Linked DNA regions of Cricetulus griseus. The protein of the gene in region 1 purifies or fractionates together with the protein of each later gene. This does not show direct contact. Links are inferred from orthologs where the notes say so. Each region holds a gene or a part of one and is shown on either strand. Other genes may lie near its edges.

Region 1 (5,469 bases):
TATTCTTTTTGGGTTAGTGAACAAGCCCAGGCCCTTAGGCATCCGATGACTGAGCTGTACCACTGTCCTTCTATCATCTTTGTCCTGATTTATGGATTGAGGTGTTAAAGGTGTCAACTGAAGTTGAGCTGAGTTGGGAGCTGATTTTATTCATATTACAGTGACTGAAATCTATGCATACTGGAAACTATCCTGTTTATTTTCTAAGAATCAAATGTAATATATTATATTCTGGTAAAGTAGAGAATAATTTTTTATTAGAACATCTAAGACAGTGATGAAGCTTGGTGCTAGAGTACTTGCTTATCATGCATTATGACCCTAAGTTCAGTCCCCAGAACCTGAAAAATTAAACAAAATAATTTTCTAAGATTCTTTTTTCCCTGGGTCTGGAAAGATGGTTCAGTAGCTGTTCTTCTAGAAGGCCCAGTTTCAATTCCCAGCACCCACATGGCAGCTCACAACTGTTTAACATCAGTTCCAGGGGATTTGACACCCTCACACAGACATACATGCAAGCAAAACACCAATGCACATGAAATGAAAGGTTTTTGTCCTATTACTATGTCAGATTGTGTAATTATTATGTCTGTCTTTGATTTTTGTAGGAAGTTGGTATGCCAGCAGATTATGTGAACAAGCTTGCCAGAATGTTTCAGGACATAAAAGTATCTGAAGACTTGAACCAAGCTTTTAAGGAAATGCACAAAAATAATAAGTTGGCATTACCAGGTATTATCTATAATTAAATAGAAGTGTATTTTTAAACTTAAAAAAATAGTTTTTCAATTATTTAAAGTAAATATCAAAGATTTTTACAAAATTCACACAAAAAGTCCCTTTTAACAAAAGTTTCACCTTCCTTCCTTCCTTCCTTCCTTCCTTCCTTCCTTCCTTCCTTCCTTCCTTCCTTTTTTTGTTTTTGTTTTTTGAGACAAGGTTTCTTTGTGTAGCTTTGGAGCCTGTCGTGGCAACTTGCTCTGTAGAGTAGGCTAGCCTCAAACTCAAATAGTGCTCCCAAGTTCTGGGATTAAAGGCATGTGCTGCTGCCACCATTACCTGGCCCTTGTTTATTTTCTGTAAAATTTAACTTGTCAAAATATTTATAAATTCTGATTTTCTTACCTGCAGCTGATTCAGTTAATATAAAGATTCTGAATGCTGGCGCCTGGTCTAGAAGCTCTGAGAAAGTGTTTGTCTCACTTCCTACTGAACTGGAGGACTTGATACCTGAGGTAGAAGAATTTTACAAAAAAAATCATAGTGGTAGAAAATTACATTGGCACCATCTCATGTCAAATGGAATTGTAAGTAGATGGGCTACCAATTTGGGTGCTGGTACAAAGAGTTGCCTGAGGGCTGGAGGGGTGACTCGGTGGCTAAGAACACTGATGCTTTTCCAGAAGACCTAGGTTCAAGTCCCAGTGACTCAAAACAGTCTCTACCTCCAATTCCTCTTTAGAACTCTACAGTTGCTGCACATATGTGCAGTATAGGCATATATGCAAGCAAAACATCCTCACATACAAAATAAAAGTAAAAATTAGTATAGATTAGGATTAGAACAGAAAATAGTGGCTCTGTCCCTACTTTTAGGGACATAGTTTCCAAGTTTTAGTAAATGCTTACCAAACCAATGACCTTGACAGTAGAATCCAATCTGATCACCAACCCTGACTCATGAAAAAAGGAAGGGAAAGGAGAAGGTGAACCTTCCTTTAAGGCAACTGATAAACATCTTCCTCATTATTTCTACATCAAACACATTGGACAGAATGAAGTCACATGACTATACTTCACTACAGGGAAAGCTGGGAGATGCATTATAGGTCTAAGATTATTACCTATAAGGAGGGAGAAATGGGTCATGGAAAAAAAACTAGCAATCTAATTTTCCCATTAGTACCTCATGCACATTTTACTAGATACCGGAGTAAGCTTCATGAAGAAATGAATTCCTTATTAAATCCCATTGTCTATTACAGATAACATTTAAGAATGAAGTAGGTCAGTATGACTTGGAAGTAACCACGTTTCAGTTGGCTGTGTTGTTTGCATGGAACCAAAGGCCCAGAGAGAAAATCAGCTTTGAAAATCTAAAACTTGCAACAGAACTCCCTGATGCCGAACTTAGAAGAACTTTATGGGTTTGTTTTATCTTTTATTCGATTTTGTTTTTAAAATAGTGTCATGTCACATAGTTGAGAATAAGTAAATGGCTTGTAAAACTAGAATTTTGGTGCTGAGAGTTAAATTCAGGACCCTTGTACACATGCATTCTACCACTGAACTACATACCTAAGCCACTGTAAAATTTGGGGGGGGGCATGTTTGGGAGCATTTGAGACAATGTTTGTTTGTAGTGTTAACTATCCTGTAACTCAGTTTGTAGACCAGGTTTTCCTTAACTCAGCCTGCCTCTGCCTCCCAAGTGCTAGGACTTTATTCCATGGCTTTCTTTCTTTTTTCCTTGTAAAGTTTTTAATTCATGATACTCTGAATATGACTTTCAACTAAAAAATGCACAGTGTTGAGGAATTTATGAATCAAGAAAAAAGAAAAGCAAATTACCAAAGTAGAAAAGGACCAGAGAAAGAGAAGAGGGAGAGATTGAGTTGGTATTAAGTGTGTTTAAGGAGTCCAACCAAAGTTATGAATGTTTGTAAAGTGTGCTCATGATAGTCTTGATTATAATTGCATTTAGTGCTTACCCTGTAACTCAGATTCCAGAATAAACTGTTAGCAATGGAGGCAACTACATGACTGTCCTGGCAGACAGTTCCTCAGGTCCTATATGACCAACCAGTGCTTGTCTCACTACATGAAGTAAAAGAACATATGTCTCTTTTTTCAGAACCAGCTCTTTTCATTAGGCATTTACTTTGTCATGTGCGTGTTGTTCACATAAAAGTTTGGATTGTTAATTTCTCTACAAGTCGATTCTTGCCTGTATTGTAGACTTGTTCCTAACACTCTGTATAATTTACTATGCTGATTTTTTTTCCTCATAGTCTTTAGTAGCTTTTCCCAAGCTCAAACGCCAAGTTTTGTTATACGAACCTCAAGTCAACTCACCCAAAGACTTCACAGAAGGGACCCTCTTCTCTGTGAACCAGGAGTTCAGCCTAATGTAAGATTCACATTGTTGATTTAAAAGAAATGTACTATGCTGAATTTTAATGCTTTGATTTTTGTTAAAATAATCATTTGCTTTATGTAATGTCAAAAATAGTAACTGAGTATTATCACTAGTTTTGTATCATTTCATTTTTTTTTATTTAAAAAATATTTGAGACCAGAATGTTGAGTGCGTGGAATAGAACAGCCTTATCCAGCAGAGCTGTTTATCTGAAGCCTTAGTCAGGTAGTTTGTAGTTTGTTAAAGAATGCAGTTAATGGTCAGCAGAGGCCGTATATCTTGTTTGAAGGAATCAAAGGACTGTTTAAATTTTTGCTTGAAATAGGTTGTTGCCTCAGCTTTTCAAGTGCTAGGATTACAGGTAATTGTAGACAAGTCCCCCCATAACAAGGGTGGGGATTGCTGAAAGGGAAGCTGTGTATCCTGGTTGTTACTTACCCTTTAAGCAGCACTACATCTTATTTTTAGAACAGTTCTAACTTCTGACATGATGCTGTAATAAGATGTTCAAAACTTTCAATTTTTTTTTTGCAGAAAAAATGCAAAAGTTCAGAAAAGGGGAAAAATCAATTTGATTGGACGTTTGCAGCTCACTACAGAAAGAATGAGAGAAGAAGAAAATGAAGGGATAGTTCAGCTAAGAATATTAAGAACCCAGGTTTGTATAGGGAGAAAGAATGTCTAAATTTTTTGGCTTTTTTTAACTTTTCACATCTTTGTAATAGTAGTTGTGTGAATACCTAGGAGTTGCTGTGCAATTTGGTTGGTGTTAGAAGATAATGTAGGAAAAGTTACTGATTTGCTTTGATCAGACAAGTGTAATATATTAATGTACTTTCTGTTTTCATTTTTCTCTTAGGAAGCCATCATACAAATAATGAAAATGAGAAAGAAAATTAGCAATGCTCAACTGCAGACTGAGTTAGTAGAGATTTTGAAAAACATGTTCTTACCACAGAAGAAAATGATAAAAGAGCAAATCGAGTGGCTGATAGAGCACAAGTACATCAGGAGAGATGAGGCCGACATCAACACGTTCATCTACATGGCGTAGCTGAGCACTGTGCCACTGTTGAAGCACAGATAGATTCTGGAGCCCCTGGGCAGAAAGTTGTCCCGGTTTGAGCTGGAGGAAGGTTTATTTGGACTTTGATTACATAAATATTAAACTCTCTGCCTTACCTTACAAACGACTATATTTTGCCAGTCACATTAGTTAGCATGATGGCATTCCCTTCATGTTGCACACTCTTAACAGCATGCTGTTTTGTGGAGAAAATTGCATTCATGAAGAGCCCATTATGAACTTCAAAGTCAGTTCAATTTTTACCCACCAAGAGAAATAACATTTTGGAAGGGTGAGGGTGGGGTTCTTGTTGCTTCTTTTACCCCCTTCTCCTCTTTAAAGGAATATACTTGCACAAGGAAGGATGCTCAGATATTCATGCACTGAAAAATGCTGTTATCTTTTTTTTTTTTTAAATGCAATTAAAGGTAGAGGTAGCACTCTTAGCTTCTTTTAATGAAAAGAGTGAAGTTGTCAACACCATATTGGGAAAGGGCAGGTGTACTTGAGAAGATGAGGATGCCATAGTATCAAGTTGTTTGTTAAACACTGCTTTTAGTTTAATAACTGGATTTTGATGATGACCTGAAAATGGTATTAAATATTTCTACCTTACAAATCCTGATTGTCGTTAAGCAGGAGACTGCTGTTTTAGTTGTTTGTTGTTAAATGGTAAGGATTTGGGGTTTCCTTTATAAGTCTTGTATCGTTGGAGAGCTTGTTTTGAAAACATGAAGTTTATAATGAATGTTGCTTCGGTTGTTAAATTTATGGGTATAGGTAAGTCATTGATTGCAGAATCAGAATCACAAAGCAAACGTGTTAAGTGTGTTACTAATACACTTAATTCATATACACTTAATATTTATTATGCCATGTCAAAATTTATTGAAAACAATGCAGAAAAATACTCTGATACAGTACAATGAGAGAATTGCTTTCTAAACCTGTAGCATAGAATTATTTGGTGTTTTGAAAATGTTGTGATTAGGGATTTACCACCTCAGTTTTCTTGAAAGACATTTTTTGTTAAAATAATAATTCCCTGTCACCTAGGAGGAAGAGAGATGAGATTACAGCCTGAGATCTGAGAAGCTTTCAGAGTTGTTGGCCGTAACATGAGTAGTAACCTTGCCAAATATGTATATATATATTTATATATTTTAAAAATAAGCATTTTTAAAATGTTCAGAGGGCAACACTTAGCTTGCTCTCTCAGTTAATCCGGAGCAGTGACTCAGGACTTCACAATGCAGTAGGAATT
Region 2 (6,268 bases), on another chromosome or scaffold:
TGGAGAGATGACTCAGTGGTGGAGCAGAGCTCAGTTCCCAGCACCAGTTCACAACTGTCTGTAAGTCCAGCTCCAGGCTATCTAATAATTCCCTCCCCTGGCCTCCCAGGGAACCTGCACACTCATGATGCTCACAGCATGCACACATACATTAAATAAATATAAAAACAGGTATGGTGGTGCACTCTCCCAGGACCTGGGAAGCAGAGGCAGGTGGATCTCTGAGTTCAATGTAAGGCTGGTCTGCATAGTGAGTTCCAGGCCAGCCAAGGGCTACCTAGAAAGACCCTGTCTCCACCCCAAATCTTTACTCACTTCCTGTTCCTCCTGAGGTAGGATAGAAAGGAAAATTATGGGGTTGTGAGAGGGAAGAGGTGCCCCTCACCCAGGAATTTGGTGGAAGCCTCTTGCCTACAGAGAAGCAGGGATGCTGGTTCAATTACTACTCAAGGCCATCACCCTTCCCCAGCTATACCGCTGCATTTTTTCAGGACTCTCAGCAGAAACTTCCTTGACAGGAAAAGGACCAGTACAAAATTGTACAAAATTTCTTATGCAACCATTGGTTCTGGTTTTACCTTATCAGATTATAATTCCCTCTGAAGCCACCCCCCCCCCACACACACCCCAACACACTCTGGGCAACCGTTTGAGAGCTAAGTTGAAAGCTATCAAAATGGTGCACACAGCTAGTGCTAAGATTGTGAGTCCCGTGAGGAGCTACACTGGGTATGTTTTCTTAGTTCTCTCTTCTAAGCCTTGTGGTTAAAGTCTATGTTAAATTTTCTTTAATAAAACCCTCAAATTTGCTTTTACTAGTGCTAAAATTCTTGTCTGAGGCAAAGCCATGAATCCAGTTTGCCCTGAGTCTTTTTGCAGTCTCTAAGAGAATTCTCTGGCTAGGGTGACAGCATGGGGTTTTATCTCTGTCCCCTCACCTTGGACACTCCCTCTTCTGGCAACAACCTGGTATCCATTATTCCACTCTGTTTCTATGAAGTGATTCCTTTAGTGACGTCCTGAGTGGAGGATTTGTCTTTCACAGGTGGCTTATTTCACTGAGCACAGTGTCCTCCAGAATTGTCCGTGCTGCAGCCTGGGATGGAGACTTTTTAAGGCTGTGTGGACGGCCCACAGCGCCACATTTTGATGCGTGTTTATCCGTCTATGCACACCTGGGTGGTTTTACACTTGAGGCATCCCAGCTAGGGATTCTGCAGCTGTGGAGTAGAGCCATGAAGCCCCTGGCTCTTTGCCTTGCAGCGTCATTAGTGTCACCTGTCCCTCATGCCAGCAGTGCTCTCTGCTGTTATCAAACCCAAACACCACGGCTGGAATCTCTTCTCTTTCCCCTCAACACCCTCAATGCCCGTGGCTGTTCCCGCTTGTCCCACCCAGCTCCACAGACCTGTGCAACCGAGCCAGTCGGGGCACGAGGATATGCTGGGTACCTATGGGTTGTTAGCTCTCAGCTGGTGTGCCATGACCACACAAAGATGCAGGCAAGTCACAGCCACCGTGTTGGGGACTGCGGCCTCGCCCCCACCTCACCGGACGGCGGGGAGCTTCTGTCTCCTTAAGGCGCAGCCTCCCCGGCTCACTGGGGTCCTTCCTCCCCTGCAAGGCACTTTCCCTAAGTCGCGAGAGAGGGAATGGAAGGACCCGGCGGCGTCCGTGCTTAGGAGCTGCTCGGGACGCGATGCACACGGTGTGACCCGTGTAAAATCGGGAGTTCTTGACGTCACTCGGTGCGCACGCCTTGCCAGGCTACAAACACTGCGGGCTCCATGGAGGCATTCTGGGCTGCGTTCAACTAACACCACTTTGCAAGTCAGCGACTGGGAAGGACGGGCGGCACCACACCGACCGTCCGGAGCCGCGCGGCAACCACAAGCGGCGCGGCCCGCGTTCCTAGACGACCTTCAGCGGCCGCGGGAGGGAGGCCGGGGACAGCGGGCTGGGCCCTAAGCGGTCACGCCCACGTCCCGCCTTTTTCGTGGGCGGGGACAGAACCTGCCAATCAGGGGCTCCGGGGCATGCAAATTAGCCTCCGCCCCCAGGGGAGAGGCGTTTCCCCAGACTCGCCGCGCCCTTGGTAGACGCCGCTACTCAGTTTTGCCTTCCTCACGGATCGGCTCTCGAGTCCGTTAGCTAGGCCGGAAGTGGGGACCCAAGCGTCCTGCGGGCAGAGCCGGAAGTGCGATAGGGAGGCGCATACTGGCCGGAAGCCGAGCTCCGGGCACGCCCCCCTGCCGGAAGCGCCTGAGGTATCTCTCAGGCCCGGTTGCTCTTCGACAGAGTCGCTGCGGAGGCGGCCGGTCGGGCGGCGGGGTCGGGGCGGCGGCTGAGGGCCGAGTCGGCATGGCGGAGGGCGGGAGCCCCGAGGGGCGGGCCGGCCCCGGGCCCGCAGGTAACGTGAGCGGCGTGGTGTGGTGTGTGTGTGTGTGGTGGGGGGCGGGGTGGCGGGAAGGCGGGGCTGCGACTCGGGTTCAGTCAGGGTGGCTCTCGGGCATCCCGGGGCCCTCGTCCTCCGTCCCCGCCGGCCAGGTTCGCGGAGGTTCGCGGAGCCGCCCTCGGGGTCAGTAAGTGGGCGTCAGGCTTCGCGGGGCCCAGGGCGCGACCTCCGCCCTCGGCCTCTCGTGGACAGCCCTCCGCGGTCCCCACCCCCACCACCCCCACCCCCGGCGGAGTTACCAGGCCAGGTGCAGCCGCCTTGTAACTGCCACCGTGTTAGCCGATCCCCGTTAGTCTGCGATGACCCCCGCTGTGACATGGGGCACGGATCCTCTTCCCGGTCTGAGCACACTGGTCAGAGGTCGGGCCTCGGTAGGGCACGCTCCTTTTCCTCATCCCGTCCCGCCAGTCAGCGCATGGCCGAGCCGGTGCATCGCAGCCACTGGACACCCCCTCCTCCCCTTTTGACTGCCATGCTGTCCCCAGCGAGCTTGCCAGTGAGTGACACAGCGCTTACGCCGGCCCTTGACCCACCTTCAGAGAAAGGCTGACACTTGCCATCTGGCTTAGCATCTCCCACTTTGCCGTGCTGCTACTGTGACACTGAGAATTTCCAGGTACGAAGTCCCACATTGGGGTCTTTCTGAGACTGCCACGTGTGTGGTAAGTAACTTGCTGTGTGCATCTCTGGAGAGGGCACTTGTTTTGTTCAGCGAACTCTCTTAGTTGTCAAAAATCTCAGAAGGTCACCCAAACAACGGCCTTGTCATTCCTCCCTCCATCTAGTCAACTATTGATGGTCTACTGTTGGCTTGGCTCACTTGAGGCTGTGAGGGTGACCTGAAAAGGCTAGATAAAGCCTCTACCACCAAGAACTTTGGTTGGCATTGACTTTGGTCTGAGGGACAAACAAAATTTTTGAGTGGACTGCCCTGTCATGCAGGAGTGAGAGATAGGAGAGAGGTGGGGAAAAGATAGCTATTTCTTAGTAAACAAGGGCCCTGGGGAAGAAACAGTGATTTTGGTCCCCTCCAGTCTACTTTTCAGTACCTGTTTGTTAGTGTGTTTCCAGCTTGTGGGTGGAGGGGCAGGTCTTGAGTGCTACCTTGGGTTCTGAAGGGTTCATGACAGACTAGGACTGGCTAACAAGGTGGCAGTTACAAGGCCGGCACCACCTGGGGGAAAAAAAAAAGGCTGAAGCATTGAAGAGAGGTGAGCAAAGGGAGGTCCAAAGACTTGACCAAGTCCTTGGTGCCCACTTTCCTGACAGTTATCCCACACATCTGAATCTTCCCCAACTGTGGCCTTGGGTTTTTATACTGGTAAATTTTATATATTGGCAACTGCAGTATACTTAACAATGGAGGAGGACCTGGACGGAGCCTTTAAGAGTGGTTTCCAGGCTTGATGTCCGCCTGTTGATCTGCGGCACATCTGGTTGTGGGATCAGGGAGCCACATAAGGTGTTTTTGAACCTTGTGCTGCCGTTAGCCTTGTTGTCTTGGACTTTCAGATTCTGGAGGGCTAGGATACTTACTCATCACCACACTGGGACTTGAAGCAGGGACTTGAAGGATATTTTATTTGAATATGGAAACAACTTCAACATCTAGAAAAAGCCTGCCTTCGAAGGGATCCTCACAGGGTGGGAGACTTGTATCTCAGCAGTTAGAATTTGTGCTGTTTTTATAACACCTGTTGGTGCAATTTTTTATAAAACTTTTCAGTCTCCTGGAGTTAAGTTTGGGCTGTGATATGAGCAAAGATGCAAGTGTTTCCAAGCAGGTGATTAATTGTACAAATAATCTCGATTAACTACATTTCTCTTTGATGCCTGTTTTTTGTTGTTCTTGTTTGGTTTTTGTTGTCGTTGTTCTTCAGTTTGGTGAGAATTTTGTTATCTAACATGATAGAGTTTTTTTTGGTTTTATTTTTTACCCCATTATTCTTTTGTTGTTTGTTTTTTTTTTGTTTTTCAAAACAGGGTTTCTTTGGCTGTCCTGGAACTAGCCTTGCACTCACAGAGATCCACCTGCCTCTGCCTCAAGTTCTGGGATTAAAGGTGTATACCACCACTGCCTGGCCCATTATTCTTACTAACACAAAGAGCAATTCTCCCTTATGTAAATGCACAAATAAAATTTGAAATTTTTTGTTATATTTTGTATCAAATTTCTGAAGAGGCTGGCTACATTTTATTTATGGGTAACCTTGAGAATTTCTCTAATATTGAATCTTCTTCTAGTACATGGTATGTATGGTTTTTCTATTTAGTCCTCTTTATTTTTTGTTACACAGGCTGGATTTGTATTTATGCATAAATTTTTTTAGTTTTCTACTTTACTGAGGTACAATTTTTTTTTTCGGTGTGTGAACATGTGTATGTAGAGGTCAGAGGTCAACATTTAATGTTATCCTCATTCTCCACCTTATTTTTGAAACAAGGTCTCTCACTGCACATGGAACCTACAGATTTGGATCTAGCTAGATTGGCTACCAGCCAGCCCAGGTATCCACAACCCAAGGGAGCCTCCTGTCTCTGCCTCCCCTACCCCCAATAGAACTAGAGGCATGTGCAACTAGTCTTGGCTTTTTATATGAGAGTTGGGAATCTGAGCTTAAGGGCTCATGTTTTCGTGACAAGTACTGCCAATTGAGATATCTCACTAGCCTCTTGAAGTGTGATTTTAATACAAAATGTATGCCTTTGAGATTTATTTCCTGTTATTTCATTTCCATTGCTACAATAAAAATACCTGAAAAAATACTATAAAGAAAAGAGATTTATTTAGTTCAGCCTTAGAGGCTGAATATCATGGTGCAGGTTCTCATGTAAGCCTTACCTATGGTACCTTAAAACAGACAGCAGTGGGGGAGCTGTGATCTCCTGATATCCAGGAAGCCAGAGACTAGGAGGGCTGGTCTCATGCTCTTATAATAACCGTCTGATAAGAACTAGCCAGGATTCCAGGAGAAATTCTTTAGTCCTGCAGGAAGACACTTTGCCCTGACACTGTGGCCCAGTGTGATGCCATACTGGTTAAAGGGCTTTGCTGTCTCCCAACACTACCATACTGGGACCATACTTCTAACACATGGACTCTGTGGATACAGTAGTACTCTGCTGAATTGTTTCTTATCGAGACACCCTGCTGCTATTTCTCGGAGCAGCATGGTAGGGAGCTCACCTACCTTCCAGGTAGCAACTGTTGTTTGGCCCTAGGCTTTGGCTAACCAGCTGTCTTTGTAGTAAAGGAGATGGCTGCCATTCTCCTTTCAGATACCCCAATTCAGAGACGCTCTTACATACTTGCAATAAATTAGAGTAATTACATGCTAGATTTTTTTTGGCATAATATTTTAAATTGTAATTTGGTAGTACTTTATTTAGGTTCTTCTATGTTATAAAGTACTATTGACTTATTGTTCCATTGTTCCCCAGTCCATCACATTTTCTTTTCTTAGAAAAAAAATTCTTATCAGCTTTGGTGTCAGGAATGTGCTAATTTGATAAAGGGAACTTTACAGCTTTCTCTTATGAATTATTTTCTGGGAATTTGAAAGTTCCTGTGTGGCTGGGCAGCAAGGAGCCACTTCAGAAGTCATCCTATTTGATTGGCCTTGCTAACAATTTCCCACACTGATAGGAGCCCCTCTCTTCAGTGCAGGTCCTAATCTGAAGGAGTGGCTGAGGGAGCAGTTCTGTGACCATCCACTAGAGCACTGTGAAGATACACGGCTCCATGATGCAGCCTACGTAGGGGACCTCCAAACCCTAAGGAACCTATTGCAAGAGGAGAGCTACCGAAGGTGA

Evidence for each region. The genes of interacting proteins can lie anywhere in the genome.
Region 2: the proteins of Cul5 (region 1) and Asb1 purify together in Homo sapiens (affinity purification with mass spectrometry; 6 studies listed by BioGRID and IntAct, counting the BioPlex papers as one, with this or other methods). This does not show direct contact. The link is inferred for Cricetulus griseus from reciprocal best matches to the Homo sapiens genes CUL5 and ASB1.

The regions. Positions count from the first base shown.
Region 1 is NC_048597.1:165,335,503-165,340,971, reverse strand, and holds part of Cul5 (cullin-5), read left to right. Parts: intron 1-608; coding exon 609-732; intron 733-1,131; coding exon 1,132-1,307; intron 1,308-1,985; coding exon 1,986-2,147; intron 2,148-3,011; coding exon 3,012-3,130; intron 3,131-3,673; coding exon 3,674-3,797; intron 3,798-3,998; coding exon 3,999-4,193; 3' UTR 4,194-5,469. UniProt on the Homo sapiens protein: Core component of multiple cullin-5-RING E3 ubiquitin-protein ligase complexes (ECS complexes, also named CRL5 complexes), which mediate the ubiquitination and subsequent proteasomal degradation of target proteins.
Region 2 is NC_048595.1:443,056,192-443,062,459, forward strand, and holds the start of Asb1 (ankyrin repeat and SOCS box protein 1), read left to right. Parts: upstream 1-2,109; 5' UTR 2,110-2,361; coding exon 2,362-2,410; intron 2,411-2,467; exon of another isoform or gene 2,468-3,117; intron 3,118-3,128; exon of another isoform or gene 3,129-4,899; coding exon 4,900-4,963; intron 4,964-6,117; coding exon 6,118-6,264; intron 6,265-6,268. UniProt on the Homo sapiens protein: Probable substrate-recognition component of a SCF-like ECS (Elongin-Cullin-SOCS-box protein) E3 ligase complex which mediates the ubiquitination and subsequent proteasomal degradation of target proteins.